Linked DNA regions of Arabidopsis thaliana. The protein of the gene in region 2 interacts with the protein of the main gene of each other region in a pairwise test. Each region holds a gene or a part of one and is shown on either strand. Other genes may lie near its edges.

What was found. Proteins that work in one complex are often made in the same cells at the same time.
Region 1: the proteins of AT5G15790 (region 2) and UBC36 interact in a two-hybrid assay, tested with the Arabidopsis thaliana proteins (one large-scale study listed by BioGRID).
Region 3: the proteins of AT5G15790 (region 2) and UEV1D-4 interact in a two-hybrid assay, tested with the Arabidopsis thaliana proteins (one large-scale study listed by BioGRID).

Annotation. Positions count from the first base shown.
Region 1 is NC_003070.9:5,775,626-5,780,170, reverse strand, and holds UBC36 (ubiquitin-conjugating enzyme 36), read left to right. Parts: upstream 1-1,686; 5' UTR 1,687-1,843; coding exon 1,844-1,879; exon of another isoform or gene 1,880-2,081; coding exon 2,082-2,136; intron 2,137-2,232; coding exon 2,233-2,319; intron 2,320-2,342; exon of another isoform or gene 2,343-2,698; coding exon 2,699-2,757; exon of another isoform or gene 2,758-3,050; coding exon 3,051-3,092; intron 3,093-3,204; coding exon 3,205-3,278; intron 3,279-3,386; coding exon 3,387-3,484; intron 3,485-3,583; coding exon 3,584-3,621; 3' UTR 3,622-3,994; downstream 3,995-4,545. Other genes in the region: EBS3 (Alg9-like mannosyltransferase family), read left to right, coding at 1-137, 310-506, 600-689, 778-909; ACR11 (uridylyltransferase-like protein), read right to left, coding at 4,046-4,108, 4,190-4,258, 4,362-4,467. UniProt on the Arabidopsis thaliana protein: Catalyzes the synthesis of non-canonical poly-ubiquitin chains that are linked through 'Lys-63'. This type of poly-ubiquitination does not lead to protein degradation by the proteasome. Mediates transcriptional activation of target genes.
Region 2 is NC_003076.8:5,147,016-5,151,276, forward strand, and holds AT5G15790 (RING/U-box superfamily protein), read left to right. Parts: upstream 1-1,707; 5' UTR 1,708-1,999; exon of another isoform or gene 2,000-2,584; 5' UTR 2,585-2,784; coding exon 2,785-2,904; intron 2,905-2,997; coding exon 2,998-3,439; intron 3,440-3,526; coding exon 3,527-3,756; downstream 3,757-4,261.
Region 3 is NC_003074.8:19,493,826-19,497,755, forward strand, and holds UEV1D-4 (ubiquitin E2 variant 1D-4), read right to left. Parts: upstream 2,271-3,930; 5' UTR 2,130-2,270; coding exon 2,096-2,129; exon of another isoform or gene 2,073-2,095; intron 1,584-2,072; coding exon 1,444-1,583; coding exon of another isoform or gene 1,441-1,443; intron 1,258-1,440; coding exon 1,078-1,257; intron 994-1,077; coding exon 853-993; 3' UTR 552-852; downstream 1-551. Other genes in the region: AT3G52561 (uncharacterized protein), read right to left, coding at 3,363-3,662. UniProt on the Arabidopsis thaliana protein: Has no ubiquitin ligase activity on its own. The heterodimer with UBC catalyzes the synthesis of non-canonical poly-ubiquitin chains that are linked through 'Lys-63'. This type of poly-ubiquitination does not lead to protein degradation by the proteasome.

The DNA.
Region 1 (4,545 bases), on a different chromosome or scaffold from region 2:
AACCAAATACATGCGACCTGTGATTCTTGGTTGTATCTTATGTGCTTCACATTCTCGCACATTTGCTCTTATTAATGGCTATTCCGCTCCCTTGGAGGTCTACAAACTACTGGAGCATCATGATGATGCAGGACCAGGTATATCCAATTCGAACTGAACTTCTTGATCATTATAATGCTAAGACGAGTGAAGATCACATCTCACTTTTACTTCAAGAATAGTAATTTGCCATTGGAAAAAGGGTAACAAAGTCCTTTTGACAAAAGTTTTCTAATCACTGATGACTTCTTGGTTGGTTTTGTATGTCAGGTTCTGTTCTATGTGTGGGAAGTGAATGGCATCGATACCCATCATCGTTTTTTGTGCCCCACTACATTAGCGAAGTACGGTGGATCGATGATGGATTCCGCGGTCTTCTTCCATTCCCATTTAACAATACACTTGGAGGCACTTCAGCATCACCTCCATACTTCAACAACAAGAACCAAGCATCCGAAGAACAATATGTAATACTCACACACTCTTCTCTCATGAAACCTTCAAAATATCTCTAAACATAAACTTAATCATGGCTTGTTTACTCGTTCCATTTTTTCCAGTTAAAGAACATCGAAACTTGTACATTCCTCATTGAGTTGCAGCTTAGCAGACCGTATCAGTATCGAGGCAGCGACTTATCTACATGGGAGGTATAGGAATCAAACCATCTTCCTGAAACAGAATCCATCTTTGATTTCACTTCACTTCTTCAATTGGTTGTTTTGACCCTTTTTTCAGGCTATTGCGGTGTTGCCTTATTTGGACAGAGAGCTGTCGCCAGCTAAGTATAGATCGTTCTTCATCCCGCACATGTGGCAGGAGAAAAATGTGTTTGGCAAATACGTAGCACTGAGAAGAGTCCCAAAATGATCACAAATCGTTAAAACTCCTTAGACTTGTAGCTTTAACTCAGTTCATTGGGTAGTTTTGGGAGAATGTAATAACTAATAACTGATTAGTATCGGCTTTAAGTTCAGGTACGTTCACGGTTCGTAGTTGTGTTGTTGTGAAAGAGACTAGTTTTAACTTTGTAAGAAATCTCCAAATGGTCAGAAGAACGTGGAAGATTATGTTTATGACATTATTGTGCAAAGTCTATATTCTTTTTGTCTTTTGATATTGCGGATTCCAATTTTGGCTATCGAGAAAAAGGGAGAAAATGAGAAGACTATGGAGGGCACTTCATAATTCATATTTCTGTCCTCTTTAAGTTAGCGTTTGACCAACGCGTCGTAAAAAGGTACAGAAGAAGAACGCAATAGAATTGAAGATAATGAACTAAAAAAGTTGTGTATATATATTGTAAAAGATTATCTTTGAAGAAAAGAATAACCTAAACAAGGTATTAATTTTTCTAAAAATTTGATCGAGTCATCGAGATCATGGTAGGTATATTGACGTTTGTAATAATGTTGTCACTATGTTACCACCAGACTAATAAATAGTGCATGTCGTTTACAAAACTAAGAAAAGATTATTTTCTTAGTAGTTTTCAATCATGGTTAAAAAAGTATTTGAATATGGAAATTATTCTTAAAAAAATTGAATATGAATATGGAAGAGAACTTACAGAAAATTATTTACTAAATGTATTCCTTACATATTTCATGTAATTATATATTTTTACTAGCATAAAAGCATCAATTTATTTCCGTAAAGGAAAAAAAGAAAGAATTAAAAGGATCAAAGGGGCACGAAACTAGAGACGACGAAGCGTACTCGATTATTATCAGCCTTTGGTAGCTTCGTTCTCTCTCAAAAACCCTAACTTCTCTGTGACGATCGAATCCGATAGCGTGCGATAATGGCCAATAGTAATCTTCCCCGACGAATCATCAAGGTTAGTTTTCCGATCCTCTGTAGCATCCTCCGATCCGTATCTCCCCTCAGTTTCATTTTGGGGAATTCTAATCTGAAATCCGAAGAAGGAACCGACGGATTATATACCTCAGCAGAACTGGGAAGAATTTTCGATAGCTTGTACGATCTTATATCATCTTCGTCATCTTGATCTGACTTTTTTTTGTTCTTCGATCTGATAGGAAACTCAACGTCTGCTTAGTGAACCTGGTAATTTCATCACTTCATTCGATCCTTGTTGATTTCTCACAGTTGATTTTAGCTCAAACAGTTGGTTTTGGTAGCTGGAACTATTGATTTTAATTCTAAGTTGTATATCTTTCGAAATTGCAGCTCCTGGGATAAGTGCGTCTCCATCAGAGGAAAATATGAGATATTTCAATGTTATGATTCTTGGTCCTACTCAATCTCCTTATGAAGGTAGTCAAATTGTTTTAATCTCCCAAAGATGCTCATCGTTACTTCTTCCTTTTTCTTCTTTAATGCATGCTGCTCAACGATTTATCGTTATCGTTTCTGCTGCAAGTAGTGACTCTGCTCTGTCTCTATATTTGTTTATACAAACGGATATGTTCGTTTAGGTACTACTAGGTCTCATAGATTGCTCATGTTCGGATTGTAGTGTTATGAATAACGATGAGTCTTTAAGCTACCTTTGAGTTCATTTCGACACATTTTATTTGTTCTAGAATACACAATGCCAAGTCGAATTTCCAGAATCAAGTCTGCTGTTTTATCTATCATCATATTTCTGTTAATTGATGTTTACCAATAATTTTGTTTCCTTCTCAATCTGTAGGAGGAGTTTTCAAGTTGGAGCTCTTTTTGCCTGAAGAATATCCTATGGCAGCTCCCAAGGTAAGTTGCTTCAACTTTTGTGTGTTTTTCTTCTTTCATTTCATGTTTCACTTGTTTTGGTAACATTAGGATTACCCCACATAACATTGTTAAGTGGAGGTAAATGCTCTTTAAGTGAATGTCTCTCTACTCTTAACACTAGGATTTTATTTATGGGTTTATGAGATTGGTGATTTTGGTTTTGTTATGACTACTCCGAATGTATTTTCTTATATTATATTAGACAACGTATCCAAGTTTCTTCATTGATGTAGAGTTTATGGGTCTTATTGATGATATCATTTGAAACACAGGTTAGGTTTCTCACCAAGATTTACCATCCTAACATCGACAAGGTCTGTTGTGAAAAATTTCCTTTTCTTCTCTTACTGTCAAGATAACTAACCAAACACATGGTCTTTTATACTTATGGATCATGTTTTGTTTGCACTTATCATGTATATATAGCTTGGAAGAATCTGCCTTGACATACTGAAAGACAAGTGGAGTCCTGCACTACAAATACGAACTGTGCTCTTGAGGTATGAATATATCCATAGAATCTTCTTTCCCTACTAAATCCAAAATATTGTAGAAATTAAGATTTAATTATTCACACTTTCTGATTTTCCATTGCCGTGTAAAAACAGTATCCAAGCTCTTTTAAGTGCACCAAACCCAGATGATCCTCTGTCTGAGAACATAGCTAAGCATTGGAAGAGCAATGAGGCAGAAGCTGTGGAAACAGGTGATAAAATACGATCGAAAAACTCAAAAAAGTTGCAACAAAAACTTTATTCCTCTCCTCTCTAATCTGGTAATCTCATATCAATGTGAACTTATGCAGCTAAGGAATGGACTCGTCTTTACGCAAGTGGTGCTTAAAGAAGACTGCAAATGGAGAAAGATCATTGTCATTTAAATAACATTATATATGGTGAAACTCTATCTCAAGGTTTTATCTGAATCCTTTTTCTGAAAACAGAGGAAAAAGATTTGTACTCTCTGAATTTGTATAACTAGGGGGATCTAAGACTCGTTTACCCATATCTGGAATCTAACTTTCTTCAATTGTGCTTGCTTTTGATCTTTGTTTTTGTTATATATGCTCTATAATAATCTTTATAAAGTGGTGTAGATAATCAGATTTTCACAGGTTGTGAATCAAAGTAAATTGGATGAATGATGCATAATGTTACTATTACAGGTGTATGAAGCAGCTTATTTTGGTCAAATGTAAAAAAAAAAAAAAGTGGTAAAAATAGTAGTCACGAGGAATGAGACTTGAGATTTTGAAAAATGGGCATAATCAGAAACTTGACTCGTCAGTTGATGGACGCCTCAAGAAGTACCTCAGACTATTAGCAAGGACCTACAAATACAAAATTTGATTTCATTTCAGTAAAAACATTTCAACTTATCAAAGAGAAAAGTCTAATTTCAGAATTTTAACCTGCTGGAGAGGCTTGATTAGGGCTTTGTTCCTGTAGCTTACATGAAACTTCACCTTAGCCAACAAACCCTTTTTGTTTCACATACAACAAGAAGAAGCAACATGAGAAACAGAGCGATATTATAGCGGAGGGTATATGTTTTAGACATTAAAAAACAGGATTATTAGATACCTCGGTGTCGAATTCTCCAGATTCAACAGCGACGCTGATATCTGAAATGATCTTCACCAGCTCAACTAATAGTCCAGGTCTATCCGCTGATTCTATGAAGAGTAAACTGCATCATCAACAAATAATTATGGATCAATGATCAGATCATATATCATAAGAATAAAAGCATTTGGATAAGGTTCTA
Region 2 (4,261 bases):
AGAATAGATGATTAGTTACTGTGGTGATGATTTTGATAGTTAACTAATATCAGTAACAGTCTATCATGGACGGATTTACATATTTCTAATCGGTAATCCAAACTAGATGTAAGAAGAGGTTACAGAGATTCATTAATTCGCAATATAATTGTTCTAAGAAACTTATACATTGCTTATTATACATTTGTTTATAGATTTGGAGAAACATATAGCCAGTGAGGCTAAAGTTGATAACTAGACTTAAGTAAGTTATAGTTTCTATTTTCTTTAACAGAGGAAACAATACATGCAATTTAAGAAAGTGAAGGCTTATGGGAATGAGAATGGGGAAGGGAATACAGTTGGAGAGTCTCTGTCGATTCACGAGACACTAAGGATGTCCACACAATCATATATACCCAATTCTTACTTCTGTCTTCTTATAGAGTACTACATACATACTCATTCTTGATAAGGGACAAAAAATTAAATAAAATGAGTTAAAGAATGTGAATGTTTTTTAATGGTATTAAAGACTCTGAATGTTCTTCTCGAATTTTCATATTTTAACTTTTGATTTTTGTGTTTTTTTTTAATCAGGAACGCCGTATGTGCTAAAAAAAATACCATTTCATGAGAATAAACAAATTCTATTAGTCGACGACATAAAAAACAACAAACAAACACTATGGTGGATTATAGATAGACTAGGGAATATTGTAACTTTATAAAAAATATTGAAAAAATATGAAAACATTGTAAACTAAAAATCATTAATTTCTAGATAATATAGGACTAAATAATAAAATGGGCCAAGATCAAATTAACCCAAACTGTAGTTTACAACTTGGTTGTTCCCATTCCTTGATATGGGCTAAGTGACATAAAAAGCCCGACTCTTTATTGTCCACTAACAATTGGTCTTTTAACTTCTTGATGGATTAATTGTGGGTGTAGAAGATTATTTTGACTATATAAAAACAGAAAATTAACTAAATATTTTCGATATATTAAATAACTAGATGATAGATGATTTTTTTTTGCAGTAATTTCATAAATTTAGTTTCATAAATTAGTTTGGTTGAATTCAAATTTAGTAAATTGTCAAATTTGAGACATAGATGATAGAACTAAGATTAGTAATTAGTAGCGCTATATATGACTCAATGGATGTGAACAAGATGATAATTTAAAAAAATGTTTTATAAAATTCTTTTTGTCCAATGAACAATAGGTTAAAACGGACAAATTTACTTTTGTGATTTAATTATTGCCATGCATTTTGGCATATAGTCACTCTGTTTCATAATATAAGCTGTTTAATTTTTGTCATTTAACAATTTTAATACGTGTAACATTTCGTCATGCAATGTTATTTTATGTGTAGATATCTAATTTATTAAATGTACTTTTATTTCAGTTATAAAAGTTATACATAATCTGCGATTATAAAATTTTATATTAATATAATGCGTTAAACATTAAGTATCTGTTTACGATAATACCAAAATAAAAAACAAGGGAAAAATTCCATCCCAAATTTTTGCTTTTGTTACTTTTGAATAGCAAATCTCTAATGTATTATTTTTCTAAAATAAAATCTTCCTATCCTAATGTCATCATCTACAAAATCATTAAAATATGTAATGTCTGATTAACTAAAATAATTTTATCAACTAGTATAAAATAAGAGAATCAACCAAAAAAGTTTGGTTTAAATTGTATAGAGAGAGTCCTCCATTAGCGTCCAGCAACAACGCCCACCCACTTTCACACCAACTTGAACACACTACTCCTCCTCCTTCACTTTTTCCTTCAATCTCTCTTCTCGCTGACGACTTGGAAATAAAGTGAGGGAAAATATTCCTCCAACTTCACTTTCCTGAGAATCTGCAAATAAAGCAATTCAACTTCCTTTTCTTTCTTTCTAAATGAAATTTCGTTCTTTGTCTCAGTCTCTCTCTCTTTCTTCGGTCGAGTCCGATCAAAATTGAAAACCCATTGAGTTCCTCGCCAAAAGGTATAGTCTTCGTTATTTCTTCTGTAATTGGATAATGGGGTTTGATCGATTCTGATTAGTACAATCCCAAAGTGTTGTTCTTTGTTTTCTGGTAAATTTTCTCTGCTTTTTTTGTGTTCTGTTTTAAAACAATTATTCTGAGTTAAGCAAAGCAACTTGTGGTTTTGTTGTGTAATGATATCAAGTGGGTTATTTTTTTTATTATAAGTTTCTCTGTTTTATTGCGTTTGTTAGGGATTATCTACCTAAATTAGGTTTCAACTTTTAATCGGTTAGTTGCTTGCATTTCACTTTGACCACTTTTGCCCTTTTTTGTATATCCCCAATTGAAGCCTCGAGTTTTCTTTTTGACCAAACACAATTTTGTACTGAGTTTGGTGAATGTTTGTTTGATGTCTCTTGTTGGGAATCTCTCTGCTTTAAAGTTACTTACTGTCAATGCTGGCAATAAATCTTTAGTTTTTTACTATTTTCATAATATAATGGATTGTTTTGGGGGTTGTGATGAGTTTTGGATAGTAATTGAAGAGGTTTAAAACTCCCTTAAAAAACTACAGTCCAAACAGTGATCAGATCATTCTACAGGTGAAATTTGAGAGAATGAATCAACGAGAGAAGCTGATTGTTGGTGAAATGTTTGGAGAGTTTCTGTAAATAGACGCCTCGGATTTGGCATTGTTAGTGAAGGTTAAAGGAGTTTCCTAGAAGTTTCAAAGCAATTTGCCTCCAAGTTCTTGACTTATAAAACATATTGGAACTAACATTTCAAGAAAGAAGAGAAGGAGATGGGCTGTGTTTCTTCTTGCTTTGGGGTCGATGACTTTGAGGATTACCCCAATCCAAGTAGTTCTGTTAACAGAAGCTGCCCATGCCCGAGATGTCTTGTTAACAACTTCCTTAACCTGGTAATGCTCTTTTTGCAGTTTTTACTTTTCACCTGCTACTTATATGAAATAAAGGAGAGTTCATTGAAGCTTCGGATTTGATCTCTTCTGCAGTATATCTCTTTATTCAGAAGAGGCGAAACCCGCTCTCTCCCATCCTCCTTACAGGCTACTAATGTATCGATAGCTACATCAACTTCGTATGATAACTTTATGTCTAATACATTCCATTCTACTCCAAGGCCTCTGCCTTATGACGCTGATCCAAGATACTTCCGGTCAAGGCGTGATTCGCTTGTTTCTAGACGCGATAAGGGTTCAAGTCATTCTCATGAGGAAGCTGAGCCCTTAAGAAGTGATGCTGATGTGGATTCTGAGTCTTTCTCAGTGGAAGGAAGCAAATGGGCTAACAAGCTTATTATCTCTGGTGAAGATTCCAAAGAAGAGTTCTCTAGATCCTCTCGGAGGATTCTTCAGTCAAGGACAATGTCTACTAGTAACGAAGGCCTGTATATAACATCTGATGATGAAGATGTCTGTCCAACGTGTCTTGAAGGTATTCATTTTCATCTTTTTTTTTCTTTTTCTTGGATCAATGCATTTCAAAGAAGCTTAGTATCAGATTATTTCGTGTGTTTTGTAGAATACATATCAGAGAACCCGAAGATTGTTACAAAGTGTTCTCACCATTTCCACCTCAGTTGCATTTATGAATGGATGGAGAGAAGTGAAAACTGCCCTGTTTGTGGAAAGGTAAACACTTTTCATGTTCTTCCAAGCCAGTTTTCGGCTTCTCATTTACTAGTGTTTCAGAGTCAGACTCAGACACCATCACGCGTAAATAGACGAGTGATCCAGAGATCAATAGAATGAAAGATGTACAACAACCCTAGAAGCACATGCGTAAAATCTTTACTTGTCTTGTCTATGACAAATATGGCTAATCATTCTTCCTGAAACTCAGAACATTTGAATTATTTCTCATTCATGTTGACTAAAGAATATTTTTTTCTCTGCTGTGAATTCGTCTCATTTGCAGGTGATGGAGTTCCACGAAACACCGTAACTTGTTGCCATTGATCCTGTCTTGTACTGCCTAGACCGGACCTGGGGAGATTGACAAGGCAGCAGAGAGATGTGAATATATTTTTTAACAATATATGATATTGTATATGATGGGGAAATGAGGAAACGTCTCTCTGCACGTTTGGCTTATGGAGTTCTGAGGAAACCCTCTTGAGAGAAAACAACAGCAGCAGCAGAACAGATGCACACAGGAATCTGACATGTTTCTTAGGATTTGCCTTTGGCGCAGTGTTTTGTTCAAGGCATGAAACTTTTTACATCATTTTGTATGATTACTTTTAACCTTTTATGA
Region 3 (3,930 bases), on a different chromosome or scaffold from region 2:
CTGGATCAATCCAACCATGAGTGTTAATGTTTGGGCTTGAAATCTGATGAAACATAAATTAATTGAGCTTCTGAGCAATGTGTAAATGTGTTATAGGTTTAATTACGTTCAACCACTTTTTTCATTTATTTAATAAGTTGATTTTCCAAGACCACTCGTAATCAACTTTCATGGAGTCCGTTTATGGTTAAGACCACTCGTAATCAACTTACAAGCAAGTTAAACAGTGTCCTAAAAGTAGAAGTCTACATGTCGAAGAATGATTGTTTCTATGTCAAGAACGACGACGCGGAACATCAAGAAGTACATGCAAATCGACGTGCATCATCATCAATAAGAAGTGTGCTAATTGTAGAAAAAAGTAACACTTAGTTTTCAAAGGTTCTATTAATCACCGTAAGCATTGGCTTTAGATGAATCACAGAAACAAAAATAAGGGTTACGAAGCTGTTCATGGCTTCTTTTTCCATTAGTTCGGATTACAAAGATTCATGATTTTTTATGATACTTTCTTGTTTTAACCTTGGTGTATTACATAACAAATAACCAATTAAATATAGCAGATTTCATTTATATATAAAAAAAGGGCTGACACAAAATGTTAAATTCAAAAGATTGAACACATGGAGTGAGGAAGAGAAGCTGTTTTTGATATTTGCACACAATGATAAAACTTCAGATGATCAATCGGACAACATCATCATCATCACCATACCATCCACACAGACCATTTTTTGATGAATTAAAAAAAAAAAAGCGTTGAGAACGACAATGGAGGACCCCCAGATACATACTTTGGTATTAGAAGGGGCAATGATTTTCTAGCAAACCAGAAGAAGATTCCAGAAGTAACTAGAAGCAAGTACCTTCCGGAGGTTGAACAAGCTTACGGTTATGCGACGTAGACATTTCCTTCTTCAACTGTACCAGTATATCCTCCATTGTGTACTCTCTTTGCCAGTTTGCAAGTAGCCCAAATTTCTTAGGATCCACCTATACACATACGCATAAAAAAATTACAGAGCATCCAAAGAAACAAAACAGAGAAAGGAAGGGCGGTGGTGAGTTTATACGTACCACTCCTGTTTCGTGGTTGACACAAGCCATGTTGACACGTGAATGGAATCGGACAGTTGGAGGTTTCTCCGGGTAATCTTTGTCACAAAAGAGCTTCAACTGATAGATTCTACCTTCATGAACAGTCTGTGACATAAAATTTATCTCTGTTACTACAAGCAAAAGCAACAATGGCATAATCTGCTCAAATAAAGCTTAAGAGATTGTATGTCGATAAGATCAATGCCTAGAAAACAATGTGGTTTTGATGTTCTGTATTCCAAGCAATGAGATGCAAATAATATTAATCTATGCTTCTCAAAACAATTGTTAACATATATGAAGACGAAGGAGAATGTTAGCAGATAAAGAAAAAGATATAACTACGTTGTGAGGACCGATGATGGTGCCAGTCCAAGAACGCATATAGATGTCATCTCCATCATCCATTCCATAGCTCACAGTTCCATCCCCAATACCTTTCTCCCCACGTTCAAGCTCCTCCAACAACCGAAAATTCCTCGGAACTATATTGCAATAACAAGCGTAACAAAAACAATTCATATCAGTAAATGAAAACAAGCAATCACTTTTTTTAATCAAAGCAGAGAACAGAACATATCATATTAATCATTATCCACAAAGACTAAAATAAGATAACACTCAACAAAGTTAACAATGAGCTATAGAGAAGATGAAAACATTCCTAGCTAAGGTCTTAGAAACAATAAGAAACTCAGGAATAGCATTTTAAACCCATCTCAGGAATTGAGACATCAGCAAATCATTCTCAGCGATTTGTTAAAATTGATTGATTCAGATCAAGCTATATGCGAACAATTTAGACAAAGCTACAATTTTTTATACTAGATCGATAGAACCTATGAGAAATCTCAACACCTATTGATCAAAACGAATAAAACCAAAAGAAGAATTCACCAAAACCCTAGAGAAAAAAAAACAAACGAGGGATTATTCCAAAACCCTAGAATCAAAATCAAAAAACGAGAACAAACCCGAAAGAATCGAAATTTTATACCAACAACGCTAGATCCTCCTGAGCCAAGAGTCATAATTGATGAAGTTGTGGTTTCGATATCCGATTGATTTTGAGATCTGACGAGCAGAGAAGAGAGACGAGAAGAAGTAAAGGGAGAATCGAATAGAGAGAATCTGGTGAATAGACAGAAAGCTAAAATGGGAGGGTCAAATTTGGCAAATCGGGTACTTTTGGGGAGACTGGAAAAAGTTATTTTTTTCAAATTTACCGCCCAAATTTGTTTTTCTATCATATAATTCCTTAAATTATGATAACTACAGAAACACCCCTTTTATTTTCGAGTTTTGACAACATCTATTTGTTATTATTTTAACTAGCAATGCAAAATTTCTATATACATGAAAATTATTGAAATATTAAAACTCGCTTGATTTGCAACTAAATTATCGTAAAATGTAAATTTCTTTTTCAAAAATCATGTTAAAACTTTAGGATAAAATGTTGTCACGTATATATGTCGTCGCATGTGCCTTAATATATATGAAAAACAGAAATTAATTATTTATTAGATTTTTGAAAATTTAGTACTTATAAATAGAAAAATGTCATAAAATACATTAAAACAAATTTTAGTTGCTACTTTTTCACTAAATTTAGGTTTAAAAATATTTTCTTAAATAATTTAATATTTGAAGTTTGTAAAAGTTCTTAAATTTTATTGAATTTGATGGTGAATTGTTTTGAATAAATAACGTTTTAATTGATGAAGATACAACTTTTAACCTTAATTATTGAAAATTTCATCGGATTGAATGCCGATGAAACCAAAGCAATACCATTATTAGCATACTACCAATTTGATTCTTAAGACCCTAATTCGAGACGTGTCGATTTTTTTACTTGTGTTTAAATTTATATTTTGTAATTTTTAAAAATAAACTTTCTATTTTTTTTGGCGTTTTTCATTTACATTGAAAAACTATGTTTCTCTGGAGTATACAAATAAATAAATATAAACGCAAACGCCATAACTAGCGTTTGAAACAATCGAATTCAACTCCGATGAAAATCCATCCTCGTTCATGTCATTGGCTTCCATAGTACTAAAACATGAAAATGGACAACTTAACAAAATGAACCAAGAGGGACGGCCACAAACAGAAATGATCTGTCTGTCAATTTAACATATTAAAATAGAGATTATAATTTAAACAATATGATTTATATAGAGGACTTTACAAAGAAAATTAAATTCATCATCTCAAACTCAAAAGTCCAAATTGAATAATAACTTAAAACAAATTCTCTAAAAGAAGATCAAGTCGGTGCATTTGCACTTGGGGCAACGTTGACGTTCTTGTAAGACCATAACATACATCATACAACTTCGACATCCCATCACCACCATCTCCGGCGCCTCTTCTTCATCAACCCACGACGATGCAACCTCCTCCTTCACTTCCTCCGTCCTCGTCAGGCACGAGTTTTGTGATGATGATGTGTCGCTCGATGGTGATCTTCCTTCAAACCTCCCATTAGCAACCACCGACGCCACGGTCCTCGCCGAGGGCTCAACGCTACCTCTTTTACCATTCTTGTTTCTCATTTCGATACTTCGGTTTCGTCGAGAGGGTTTTTGTATTCTTGTATTTGTTTTTCTCTGTGTTTTTCTAGGGGATGGGTTGATGGTAATGACTTCTAAAGAAAATGTATGTATGTAATATATAAGGAAGAAGAGGAGCTAAAATATGACTAGGAATTAATATTTGTTGAATAAAGTAATTATGTTGTGGAGAGAGATATGACTTTGTTTATTTCGTAATAATTTTTTTAATTGGAGGTGGGAAAGTTAGTAAAAGTATAGTAGAGACAAA